Linked DNA regions of Arabidopsis thaliana. The protein of the gene in region 3 interacts with the protein of the main gene of each other region in a pairwise test. Each region holds a gene or a part of one and is shown on either strand. Other genes may lie near its edges. The genes, in order: SNAP30, SNAP29 and SYP111.

Region 1 (4,122 bases), 2.0 Mb from region 3:
ACACTTATGGGAAAATCAGAATCTAATGCTTTGTGGTATGCCAAAGGAGCAGGCTTGATGGTTGTGGGTGTGCTTTTAGGGTTCATTATCGGGTTTTTTACCCGGGGAAAGAAATCTTCGTCTGGAAACCGTTGGATCCCAGTCAAGAACGAGGAGACATAATCACATAATGTTGAACTGAGTCTATTATTTAGAGGCACGATTTGTATAGTATCCTTTTTTTCCCACGGTAAGAACCATGTTTCTTTACAACTACAGCTGGGAAGATATATAACATAAGTTTTTGTGCACTATAATAATAGTGATTCTTGTTACATAGTATGATTCATGTGTTTTTTTTTGAAGAATTTGCTGTAATTACAGATTGAAGAAGTTTTGCTGTAATTACATTATGTAGTGTATGAGAGTATATATACATTCAACAATTGTAGAGGCTAATCAATCGAGCATTGGAATGTTGATTATGCCAAAGCATAAGTGTAACCAATTATAGTATGGATTTGATGTTTTCTATTTTTGTTTGGTTATATGCTTTTTGAATATCAAAAGGTAAATTAGATTAATTTATTTGGATCGGTTTGATTTAGATTGGATCAATTCAATATATTAGGATTAAACACTCATGGAATATTGTCTGGAAAATTTAAGCTTGAGAAAAAAAATTGAATCAAATGCGTTAATATTGACAATTTTCATAGCAAAGAATGAATAAAGAAGAAAATCACAACTGTTCAAACGTAAAAAAAAGAAGAGAGAATGATACAATATAATATACATATAAGAACAATGGTATTTTGTGGAAGGTGTTTTCTTATTTGGAAAGCAAGTGACGTGCCCGTTGATTAGCTCCTTGAACACGAGAGTTAAGCTCATCAACATCGTCGCCGAGATGATCAAGAGCTTTGTTTTGCCTGCAAATTTGCCCCCAACAATAGTAAGTATTCTACAAACATAAGCATAAAATGTATGAAAGTATGTATTTGTGTTATCTGACTTGTCGATCTCAGATCCCATATCAACGGCCATGCTCTTAAGATCACCCAATATGTCACTTAAATCTGAAAGTCCATCGTCTTGCTTTGCCTTCTCTTGCTGCATTAAACATACACCTTTTAATACGTATTCTTAATAAAGAAAGCATATAAGATGCAAAAACTTGTAAAAAGAACACAAACCTCAACTTTCTGCAACGCATTTGTTGGTTGATCTAATGCTGGTTGACTGCTCGATCGTCCTTTTGCACCCAAACCAAGTTTCTCCCGCTCTTCCTTGTGATTCTCGCTCTTCTTCGACGGTTTATCTAAAATTTCGATAACTATATTAAACATGACCACCATACACATGATCAAGAGTCCTAACAACGTGAATACAATAAGGATTGAGATTATATGAGTTATTAACGGGCTAGGTATGAATCAACCCTTCTCTAAGATATTATAAGATACATGATCATCATAACATTATTTTATCCAATCAATATCAAGAGCTCGGAAGCTTTAAAACCTGGTGTGATCATAGGTCCTGTGATATTTTTAGTCTTCTTTGGTTTCCATGGCTTTGAAAACATTCCTCCTAAGTTGTTCAAAAGCTTCTCCCCCTGATCTCACAAACATTTTTTCTTATCAACGCTCCATAAAACAGAACATATAATTTCACATTTTCGTATCGAAGAAAGTAAGAAAAATTAAAAAAAGTTTTACCCGACTGAGATCTTTATCCATATCAACAGCCATTTCATGAGTCCTGTTGATTTGTTCACCTTGCTGATGCAACATTTCGAGCGTTCTTGCACCATCTGATCTTATATCTTCAGCGATCTTAAGACAATTATTAACACCTTTGGTTGTTTCTTCAGCTTTATAAACTGCATATTTTTCTAATTCTTCTGTCGTTTGGCTCTGCAGACCACCAGAATCGTTGAAACCGTTCTTGTATTTGTCGTCATCGTCGAAATCTGGTGTTATCAGGATTGGTTCTGAAGAAGTCCTTCTTCCTGCAGTGATTGTTCCTCCTTTGTTGTTTGATGATTCATTGGGAAGTTTATTGTTCCCCGGAGATTTGAAAAACCCAAACATCTATGTAACAATGAGGTGATGATGATTATCGATTAAACTGATAAAAAAGATTGAATCAGGAAGAAATAGAATTTGATGGGTTGGTTACCTGTGAAATCTCAAAGATTAGAAAAAAAAAGATTATAATCAAGAAAACTTCAGGGATTAGAAAAAAGAAAATGGTTATCCAAAAATAGAAACCTGTGACAGAGATATGTAATAACGTCCTATGCTTCTCCCTATTTTGGGACCGTTAAGAGTGTAATAACCAAACACTGTTTCAGAGAGAAGGCTTATGTCTTAACATGTTTAATGGAGAAATGTCAAGACCCATATTAATTTCGTTTTGCTTGTGCATATAGGAAGTGAGATATGTATACTAAAAGATATGAACAAAAGTTAGTTTATTAAACAGTTGAAGAATTTTTTTTATCTTCTTACAACAAAATCTAAAAATAGTAAATAAAAATAACCTAAAGTATCAAAAACACATAAGTTTCCACGGCCATAAAACTATACACGACATGCCTCCCTCAAAACTTCCAACTTGAGATTTTCTTAAATAATGCATTTACATACAGAAGATTCAGAACTTGGAGCAGAGTAGCAATGGACATGGGAGACAATTCTTCATTTACTTCCCTCTGGAGAAATCATCCCATGGGTGGTCTTGACCAAAGATTTCGTCGATAATGTTTGAAGTTGGAAGCAGATCAATGTTCTTAGTCCAACAATGATCTGGCAGTATTGAATCACAAGGATCAAATGAATACGACTGATCCACAAGATCATTGCAGTGGCGCCAGTAATTCCCAATGTTGGATTCTTCTCTATTTCTAACTGGACATCGAGAGTAGATTGCGTTGGACTGATTCTCAAAGGACATGTACGAATCTTCATTAGCATTAACCTCTTCTCCTTCGTCTCTTGAGAGGCTTTTTTCGGCTTTGTCATCTGATGGAGTTTCAGCACCATAAAAGGTGTTGTCATACTCTACTTGCCACTCATCATCATCACTATCAACATCCAGGCTTTTAGAACGGTTCTGGATAGCTCGTCTTCGCAGGATAAAGACATTGAAATAATAGCTCACAATTTCCTTCATGGTTCGTGAAGGAAACGCAGACTTTAGGTGTTTCCAGAAATCCCGGTCCATTGAAACCGGATTGGAGTAAACAATCTCATGAAACAGATCTTCCTCGTCTTCAGTTAGTCTAGCAGCAACTTCCTCCCCCATTTCACAAAGACCTATATCCAGACACCTGTCGTACCCAATAGTTGCAAACAAATCTTCCCTGTTTTCCATAATATGCTGCTGTACACATCTGATGGAACCTTTATCCAGGCAAATGCATTCCTTTCTTCCTTTACCAATCTTGCAGACCTCGGTTTCACAGTCAGGCATTGGAATTACGCACTTCCCTGTCACTTGTTCTTCATCGTAACCAACACCTTGACCCGACTGATCATTTGCCTCTTCCTTGACACATTCAGGAATATCAGCCTGGTAATCTGACCCGATTGGAACCGTTTTTCTAGGAGAAATCGGACACCAATAGCCATCTTCTTCCCCAGAGCAAACCGGTCTCCAAGGTATATCTGACTCAGGAGATTCATGAGAAATGGTAGACTGAATCGTAGCTCCAGACTGAGAATCCTCCTCAGACAAACCAGTTGTGATCCAAGAGAAAGGCGCATTGGTCTCAAACCCCTTGTCAACGTTATCCTCACATTTATACCCGTAGAGATCACTTATATCATATCCTGCTAAATGATAAAGACAGATAATCATTAAGCGAACTGCTTAAGTTTATCATGTGAACCCCTCTGCAAGAAACAAGGTGTTATTATTACCTACGACACCTGGCTTCTCCAGTGAAAGACGATATGGAACTCCTTCATCTAGTTTGGCCAGCTTATTACAGTAACTAATCTGTCTTCCATTCTTAACGTTGAGCTCTTGAACATCTTCAGCGTCAAACGTTCGCTTGAAACCCATTCTTAAAAAACCTGTAAAAGGAGAACCAAAGCCATTAGTTACTTGGCGTGAAGGTTATCTGTGTGAACC
Region 2 (4,075 bases), on a different chromosome or scaffold from region 3:
CATTTCTCATCAGAAACAGTGAGATCGCTGAAATCAAAGGCGAATCAAGAATGCGGAACAACAATGATCTCTTCTTTTCAGGCTCTGACCGCATTGATATGGAGAAGCATTACAAGAGCAAGAAAACTACCAAATGATCAAGAAACTACTTGCAGGTTTGCTGCTGGAAACAGATCAAGAATGAATCCACCATTGCCGACGAATCAATTTGGAGTTTACATCTCTCTTGTGAAAACGACTACTAAAATCGGTAATCTACTGGAGAATGAGTTTGGATGGATTGCTTTGAAACTGCATCAAGCTGTTACCGAACACACTGGCGAAAAGATCTCTTACGAAATAGATCAAATGTTGAAGTCTCCTTTACCGTTGCAAGCATATCGACTTTCCAATTTGAACATAGTTCACATGGGAAGTTCTCCAAGGTTTAACAAGTACGGAAGCGAGTTTGGGATGGGGAAAGCGGTGGCGGTTAGAAGCGGTTATGGCGGTAAGTATGACGGGAAGGTATCAGCTTATCCAGGAAGACAAGGAGGAGCAAGTATAGATTTGGAAGTATGTCTACTTCCAGAGTTTATGGAAGCTTTGGAATCAGATCAAGAGTTCATGTCTCTTGTCTCTTCTTCCACCTGATCCTATTCATATTTTCCAGACACAAAACTCAAGTTATTCTTTATTTCAAACACAAATCTTTGGAACCAAATGTTTGCTTGTTACTCTAACTGTATTCTGCAGTTGTTAAATGTTTCCACTTCATTAAGAAAAGAACTAATATATTGAAAATCTATGTTTGACTTTAAGCAACAAATTCATCAGAAGAATGGGGAGAAGCGGACGAGCTTGGTTATGAACAGAGTTCTGGCTACTTTTACTTCCGGAGTAAATAGCGAGCCCGTTGGTTCGATTGCTTAACTCTGTAGTTGAGCTCATCAGCATTATCTTGAAGATGATCCAGTTCATTGGTTTGCCTGCGATTACAGTGTTGCCTTCAGAAACGAGAAAGCTCTTAGAGAATATGTATACATATAGAGAGACTTGATGGAAAACCTTTCGATTGCTGTTCCCATGTCCACTGCCATATTTTTCAACTCGCCAAGAAGAGCGCTTAAGTCGGTAAGGGCTTCATCTTGCTTTGCAATCTCCATTTGTTAACACAGCATGATATTTAGAATCTTGGTTAACAAACAAAAAGAGACGACTTTTGAAACCCCAGAAGGAACATAAGAGAGAATCCGAACCTGTGTTTTCTGATAAGCATCAACGGCTTCAGGAAGTGTTTTTGATTTTGGTTTGAGTGAAGGGTTCAGTCCCAGCTTTTCCCTAGTCTTTAAGTCGATAACTTTTCTCTTAGGTGAATCACCTGCTCAGGAAATATGAATAGCTAGATAAATTAATAAGCAAAAGACTCATTCCTTAGAAGTAAAGATCATCAACCAAAGAAGAATAAACCTTTGGTTATGACAGGGCCAGTTATAGAACGAGACTTCTTTGGCTTCCAAGTCCTTGAAAAAACACCTCCGAGGCGTCCAAGAATCTTCTCACCCTGAAACCAAACAAAAAAAACATACAATAAAGATCATCCCCAAGAAAGAGATTGCAAAACACCTCTCTGGTCGTATGTGACTCACCCGAGAAAGATGATGATCGAGATCAACCGTCTTCTGGTGTGTTCTAGTAATTTGATCTCCTTGTTCATTCAACATAACCAAAGTTTTAGAAGCATCACATCTAATCTCTTCAGCAACTTTCAAACACCCTTGTACGGTTTTCGTTGTTTCCTCAGAGTTATACACAGCGTAGCTCTCAAGTTCTTGAACCGTCTGGTTCTCTTTACCTCCCGAGGGCTTCAAGGATGAAGTGAATCTTTTCTCAACCTCCTTGTCATCATCATCATCATCAAAAGGGTTCAAACTGAAACTCTTAGCAGCCTCCTTCTCATCATCAAAAGGGTTCCAGCTGGAATTCTTAGGAGCCATAGAAGGTTCAGGGGAAATTCTACTGTATCAGAGAATCCAAAACTAAGAAAACAACTTCTCCTGCAGAAATCCAAAACTAAGATTGCTATTGATCCTTGATTCGAAATTTACCAGAAGATACTGAACTTTGAAGTTGAAAAAAAGCAAGAACAAGTATTTATAACTGCTATCTCTTTTGATCAACGATCGATTCCTAAAAGATCAATTTTCCAACAATCAAAGTAGACCTAAATCGACTTGGAAGATTACGAGAAGAAAGAAAAAAACGAATTAGTACCTGGAAATTGAAGTAGGATTGAGAGGTTCCGAGAGAGAAAGGTTGATAGGAAGAAGAGGCTTTAACGAGTTCAAATATTGGAGTCCGTTATAGAGGAAACTGGTGAGAAACCTTAGCAAAAAAACACAATTGTTGAAAAAGAGTTTTCTTTTGTTCCTATTTATTTACTTTCTTGTATTAAACTATTTATCAATAAAATCTACCAAGAGTAATTATTTTTGTTTTCTTTTAGATAAAAGTACAGGTATCGTTAAAGAAAAAGAAAATGTATACAGATTTTATCAAAGCAACTTGATAAGAAAAATGTTTGAGATTTCAATTTATAAAGAGGAAAAGAACATAAGGTATGGAAGAATTGGTTGGAGATCAATTTTCAATTTGCTGCAGAGTAAATATTTAGAGACTTGTTAAGACATCAAAGAAAATGCAATTATGTATTACCTTAGAACGACTTTTATTTCTAATGTTTGTTCCAAGCAATTTTTATGTACACTCAGAATAAAGAAAACATCAATCTCTAAAGCTAAACTCTTAACCCAAACTTCTTTTGTTTGCGTCTCCAAACCTCTTCCAAGTCTCTGGATTTCTTCTGACTACCCTACCATTTGATTTCTATACAAATCAACATCCAAACTTGCAATCCGTCTTTCAATCACTCGAGCACTTTCCACACTCAGTTTCAACAGAAAACCCATGGATGAGACTCAGAAATGTGTGTAAAGGTAAACATCAAAGCTCAAGACTTTTCATAACCCAGGAAGAGGCAGCATTTCATTGGAAGCAGGCTTTTTTACATCTCTCTTGATCTTAACAACAGAGGAAAGAAAAGAGAGATTAGATTCCATTTTCACATATTCGACCAAAAACAAGGAAGCATTACATAAGTAGTACCTGTGCTTCTAGCTCGGATATTCTCTGTAATGATGCTTGTTCTATGCACACACGGCGATTGCGTTCCTCATCAAGCAAACATGTCATCTTATACCTTAATTCAGCCATTTCTTGTGTAAGGTCTTCTGCTTCTTCCTTCGCCTTCAGTTTCTCCTGTTTCAGTTCTTCCTGCACAAACCAACAACCGCAGGTATAACTAGTTGGATTCTGTAATGGTAACAAAGGAAGGAAATAGAGTTCTTCAGTTTTTCAAAAGTACTTTGAGTTGCTTTACAACATCTTCGTGCTGATGTATCTGTTTCCCCATACCCTCCACTTTATCAATCAAATTCACATTCTGAGAAAGTTCTAGTTTCTTCATGATAGCATCAAAACAATTGCTGTGAGACACAAAACCAACATTATTAGGGACGGGGATAACTCAATTTGATGACTTAATAAATTAGCCTTAAACTGGAGCTTACCGAACTTCATTAGACACTGGAAGCACATGGCTCAGTTCAGCGAAGAAGCACATTGCATTTAGAGGCTGTTCATCTTCACTTTCTAACCGTTCTTTAGTACTTTGAAAGAAATCTTTGATACTCTTTTCAGAGGCAGTAAATTTCTCCCTCAGGTCTTCGTTTTGCTTTTCGATGTACTTGACATTCTCTTTTGCCCTTTGAGACTGAAACTGGGACTCTTCGATTATTCCTTTTAATTGATCTTTTTCTTGGATGCTTTCTTCTTGGATTTTCATAGCGTCAAAGAGTGCTTGCTCCAACGCTGTTATATCAAGCTTCATGCTTTCTATTTCGCACAAGGACTCTAATGTTAAGGACGAGATGGTCTCTTCCAGTTTCTCCAATGTAAGAGACGAACACTGTAGTTCTATTTCCTTGCTCTCGAGTTCTTGCAACAACAACAAATGCTCGGATTTAGACATACACAA
Region 3 (3,867 bases):
TATACACGAGAAGTTCTGTATTACCCAATAGCATTATACCAGAACTCGAAAAAGCAGCAAAAAGCATAGGCAGAGACTTCAGCACATTCATTAGAACGGATAACACATGTGGTCCTGAACCTGCGCTCGTGGAGAGAATTGAGAAGACAGTGGAAGAAGGTGAAAGGATAATCGTAAAAGAGGTTGAAGAGATAGAAGAAGAGGTAGAGAAGGAAGTGGAGAAGGTCGGTAGGACTGAGATGACCTTGTTCCAGAGATTGGCTGAAGGATTTAATGAACTGAAGCAAGACGAGGAGAATTTCGTGAGAGAGTTAAGTAAAGAAGAGATGGAGTTTTTGGATGAGATCAAAATGGAAGCAAGTGAGGTTGAAAAATTGTTTGGGAAAGCTTTGCCAATCAGGAAGGTCAGGTAGAAACAAGAACCACCATTGTTGTACAAACTATATTATACATACTGTGTTCGGTTCATATAAAGTAATATTTTTGTACACAGTCATCATCATTCCATAACAATTGGATACAGAAAACACAAGGATTAAACATCCTTTGAGCGAAACAAACAACGATTGGTAAACATAGTACCTCAAGAAGAGCTGAAAGTGTTAACAATGGGGATGACAACATTTAGAATGATCAAGAGGATTAAGTCAACTGGGTATCTTTGTAAACATTCACCATTTCATTGAAATTGGATACAAGACACGAAAGGATTAAGACATCCTTGAAGAACACAAAAGGATTAAGACATCCATTGGTACAAAGAAGAGCGAAACAAAACAAAAGGAGTGAACATAGCCAGTATCTCAAGAAGAGCTGAAACTGGTAATGATGGGGATGACAACAATGAGAATGATCAAAAGCAGCACAATGATACCAATGCACATCCATTTTCTGCTGTTTCTCTGATGACTCTTTGCAGTCTTCAGCTCATTAGCTCCATCAGCCACGTAATGGCTCGCATTAATCACATGATGCTCGATCTCGTCCATCTGTTCACCTTGCGATTCAACCATCACAGCCATATCAAGAAACACTTGGTGAAGCTCCAACAGACTCTTCTCAATCTCCTTTGCTGCATCATACCTGTCTTGAATCTCAACCACAGTTTCCAAGACCTTTCCTTTACCATGTTCCTGAATTGCTCGCGTGAGAAACTCTTCACCTCCAGCGTTATCAGTGATGATCTTCTCAATCATCTCATCATTAGCATGTTCTCCAGTGACAGTGAAGTACCTTCTCTCAACAGTCTCCTTGTACTCACTCATCATCTTTTGCCTCAGCCCCTGAAACTCCATCATCACTTCCTTAAGTTTCTTCCTCAGCCCATTAGTCACAGCGGTTCTGCTCCTATAAACCGGAGTCCCAGAGAGCCTTTTAATCTCCTTGTTGGCTTTATCCATCTCTTCCAGCTTCGACTTAATCGATTTCGCCTTCCTCAAACCAGACACAATCTCGTTAGAGATCTTGTTACGAAGAGACTTCACAGACTCTGCCTTGTGAACACCTTTACTCTCTTCATGGTACTGTTCGATCCGAGCCAGCGTCTCACTAATCAAACCCATCTCTGCTTTCACATACTCTGCTTCTTCTAAGAAAGATGACAGATTCTCATCCATCTTGTCTGCTTTCGTAGAAGCCATCTCAAGATCAAAGTCAGGTCCTGCTTCCATATCCTTCATCGCTGCTTTTTTCAAGTCAACGTAACTCATAAACGATTTCGTCATCAAGTCGTTCATCTTTTTCACCTGAAAGTCAACAATTTTACAAGAATCAGAGAGAATCGCAGTGATTGTAACAGAATCAAACAAGAGAAAATCAAAGAAAATACAACATACTCTTCTGATTAGTGTGTTCTTCTAGATCCACAAAGTTTCTGCCCAGAAAGTGAGAGAGTAGTGTGAAGTAAAGCTTACTATAGAATTTGATTAGCGATTTGTGAGATGAGAGAAAGCTTTCTTTCTAATATAAGAAAAAGGAGAAATTAGCCGTTACTGTGATTTCTTCGCCCCAACGGCTATATTTTGGCGATGTATCCGTTGTCGTCCATTTGTCTATCTGTTTCTGTTTCTTCAAATCTATTTTTAAATTCATGTGAATTTCTTTCGAAACTTTAAAATAATATAGGGACTAAATTGTAATTAGATGTATGTTTTAGTGCCGACGTGTGTGATTGAGACAGCTTTAAAGATATCGAAACTGAGAAGAAAATATAGGGACTAAATTGTAATTATGTGTATGACATCGCTTTTGTCGACAAATCATCATTGGTGACGATTTACGAAAGCAAAGAAGAGGTGTTCTTAGCTGCACATTTGTCACCATTTATACAAAAATTGTGGTTCTTGTGTTTTGTTTTTTATGTTGGAAAACTTATGGTATAGTTTCTTTTGTTACGATACACCTTAGTTGAACCATTCAAATTATTAGGATATTTTCAAATATATAATATTTTAATTCTAATTTCGTATGTAAACGACTCTCCAATAAAACATCTCCACTAGCTTGTTGGTCTCTAAACTTGAAATCAGTTTTTATTTTTCTTGTAATATTTTCAAAATTGTTTCAATATCGTAGACAAATTTTAAATAAAATGTACATCATATCTCTATAAACTTAATAATACCCAAAATTTTGACTAATCACATTAAATTCCTTATGATATTCGAATAAAAAAATAATTTAATAATATTTATTGTAGTCGCAATTCAATATTTATTCTGTAATGCTTGAAAAATGTTTTTAAAAACTGTGTCACTACATTACTATAACGTTAGTATGTACTAAATTTTGTAACGTTTCATGGTTATAAAATAGTATTAGTTTACCGACAAAAATATATAGATTACGTAACGCTTGTTTTACATTAAAACAAATTTGTTAGGATTGTTTTGTCTATTCTACATTCGTCACATTTGTTTTGTTTAAACTTTTTGTTTTCTAATTAAAAAATTATTCTGTTTTTGTAATTAAATATAGTAAATTTGTTTGCCGCCCAAAAAAATATTACATAACGCTTGTTTTACATTAAAATAAAGTTGCTTCGATTGTTTTGGCTGTTCAACTCTAGTCACATTTGTTACGTTTGTTCTACTTATTGTCGTGAATCGATCGAAAACTTGTGCAATGTGGAATTGAGGGGGTTAGATGTAAACCAAAAAACTAAAAAGGGCAATCTCCAATTATTTTGTTAAAGAGGTGGCAATTGCAAATCTCCAATAATATAAAGTTCATAAAAAAGGTTAAAGGAGAGAGTTGTGGTGGAGAGAGTGAGACCCACGTGGGTGATGTGTTGGCAAACTATCTTCCTTAAAATCCAAATCCATTTATCCATCACTACTTTTTTTTCTTTTGTTTGGTAGTAAAATCCTTCACTAGTTGATTGCAGATGACTAATAAAGTAATAATCTTTCATTTTGGTGGTTCATCGCCTAATTTGTTGTTTACTTGATTGATAAATGTTTGAGGATGAAACTGTATCATTTATTTTTCTCAAAATTGTTTGGTTCATGACCTATATAATCCATTTGTTTAATATTAATATAGGTAAATTTAAAATTCGTTACTTAAATTGGCTAAACATACTCTTCAAAATAATATATATCCACTTAACATAGTTAAAACTCTGTATTCAGATAAAAGCATGGTAAAAAACCAAACATATCCATTTAAATGTATTCAAAGTCATGAGAAAATTTCCTATACTTGTTCCTTTATATCTGCGAGAAGTCATGAACCTTATCCATTTATTAGTTTTCTTCTGACCGACTAAACCTGATAATCACTAATCCACCGTTAGATCTTAAAATTCCAAATCCAAAATGGACGGTCAAGATCACTTAACGAAAAAGAAAACAGTTTCCTGTCCAG

The links.
Region 1: the proteins of SYP111 (region 3) and SNAP30 interact in a two-hybrid assay, tested with the Arabidopsis thaliana proteins (one study listed by BioGRID).
Region 2: the proteins of SYP111 (region 3) and SNAP29 interact in a two-hybrid assay, tested with the Arabidopsis thaliana proteins (one study listed by BioGRID).

The regions. Positions count from the first base shown.
Region 1 is NC_003070.9:4,749,534-4,753,655, reverse strand, and holds SNAP30 (soluble N-ethylmaleimide-sensitive factor adaptor protein 30), read right to left. Parts: upstream 2,225-4,122; 5' UTR 2,164-2,224; exon of another isoform or gene 2,076-2,163; coding exon 1,701-2,075; intron 1,598-1,700; coding exon 1,504-1,597; intron 1,301-1,503; coding exon 1,176-1,300; intron 1,093-1,175; coding exon 995-1,092; intron 912-994; coding exon 812-911; 3' UTR 652-811; downstream 1-651. Other genes in the region: PAP2 (Purple acid phosphatases superfamily protein), read left to right, coding at 1-162; AT1G13880 (ELM2 domain-containing protein), read right to left, coding at 2,689-3,818, 3,909-4,064. UniProt on the Arabidopsis thaliana protein: Vesicle trafficking protein that functions in the secretory pathway.
Region 2 is NC_003076.8:2,514,719-2,518,793, forward strand, and holds SNAP29 (synaptosomal-associated protein SNAP25-like 29), read right to left. Parts: upstream 2,349-4,075; 5' UTR 2,254-2,348; intron 2,040-2,253; exon of another isoform or gene 2,037-2,039; 5' UTR 1,977-2,036; coding exon 1,629-1,976; intron 1,544-1,628; coding exon 1,450-1,543; intron 1,361-1,449; coding exon 1,239-1,360; intron 1,140-1,238; coding exon 1,048-1,139; intron 1,014-1,047; exon of another isoform or gene 969-1,013; coding exon 869-968; 3' UTR 634-868; downstream 1-633. Other genes in the region: AT5G07870 (HXXXD-type acyl-transferase family protein), read left to right, coding at 1-633; AT5G07890 (myosin heavy chain-like protein), read right to left, coding at 3,000-3,059, 3,145-3,312, 3,404-3,524, 3,609-4,075. UniProt on the Arabidopsis thaliana protein: SNAREs, soluble N-ethylmaleimide-sensitive factor-attachment protein receptors, are essential proteins for fusion of cellular membranes.
Region 3 is NC_003070.9:2,708,975-2,712,841, forward strand, and holds SYP111 (syntaxin of plants 111), read right to left. Parts: upstream 2,027-3,867; 5' UTR 1,836-2,026; intron 1,746-1,835; 5' UTR 1,737-1,745; coding exon 804-1,736; 3' UTR 551-803; downstream 1-550. Other genes in the region: NPQ1 (non-photochemical quenching 1), read left to right, coding at 1-413. UniProt on the Arabidopsis thaliana protein: Involved in cytokinesis. Acts as a cell plate-specific syntaxin, required for the fusion of vesicles at the plane of cell division.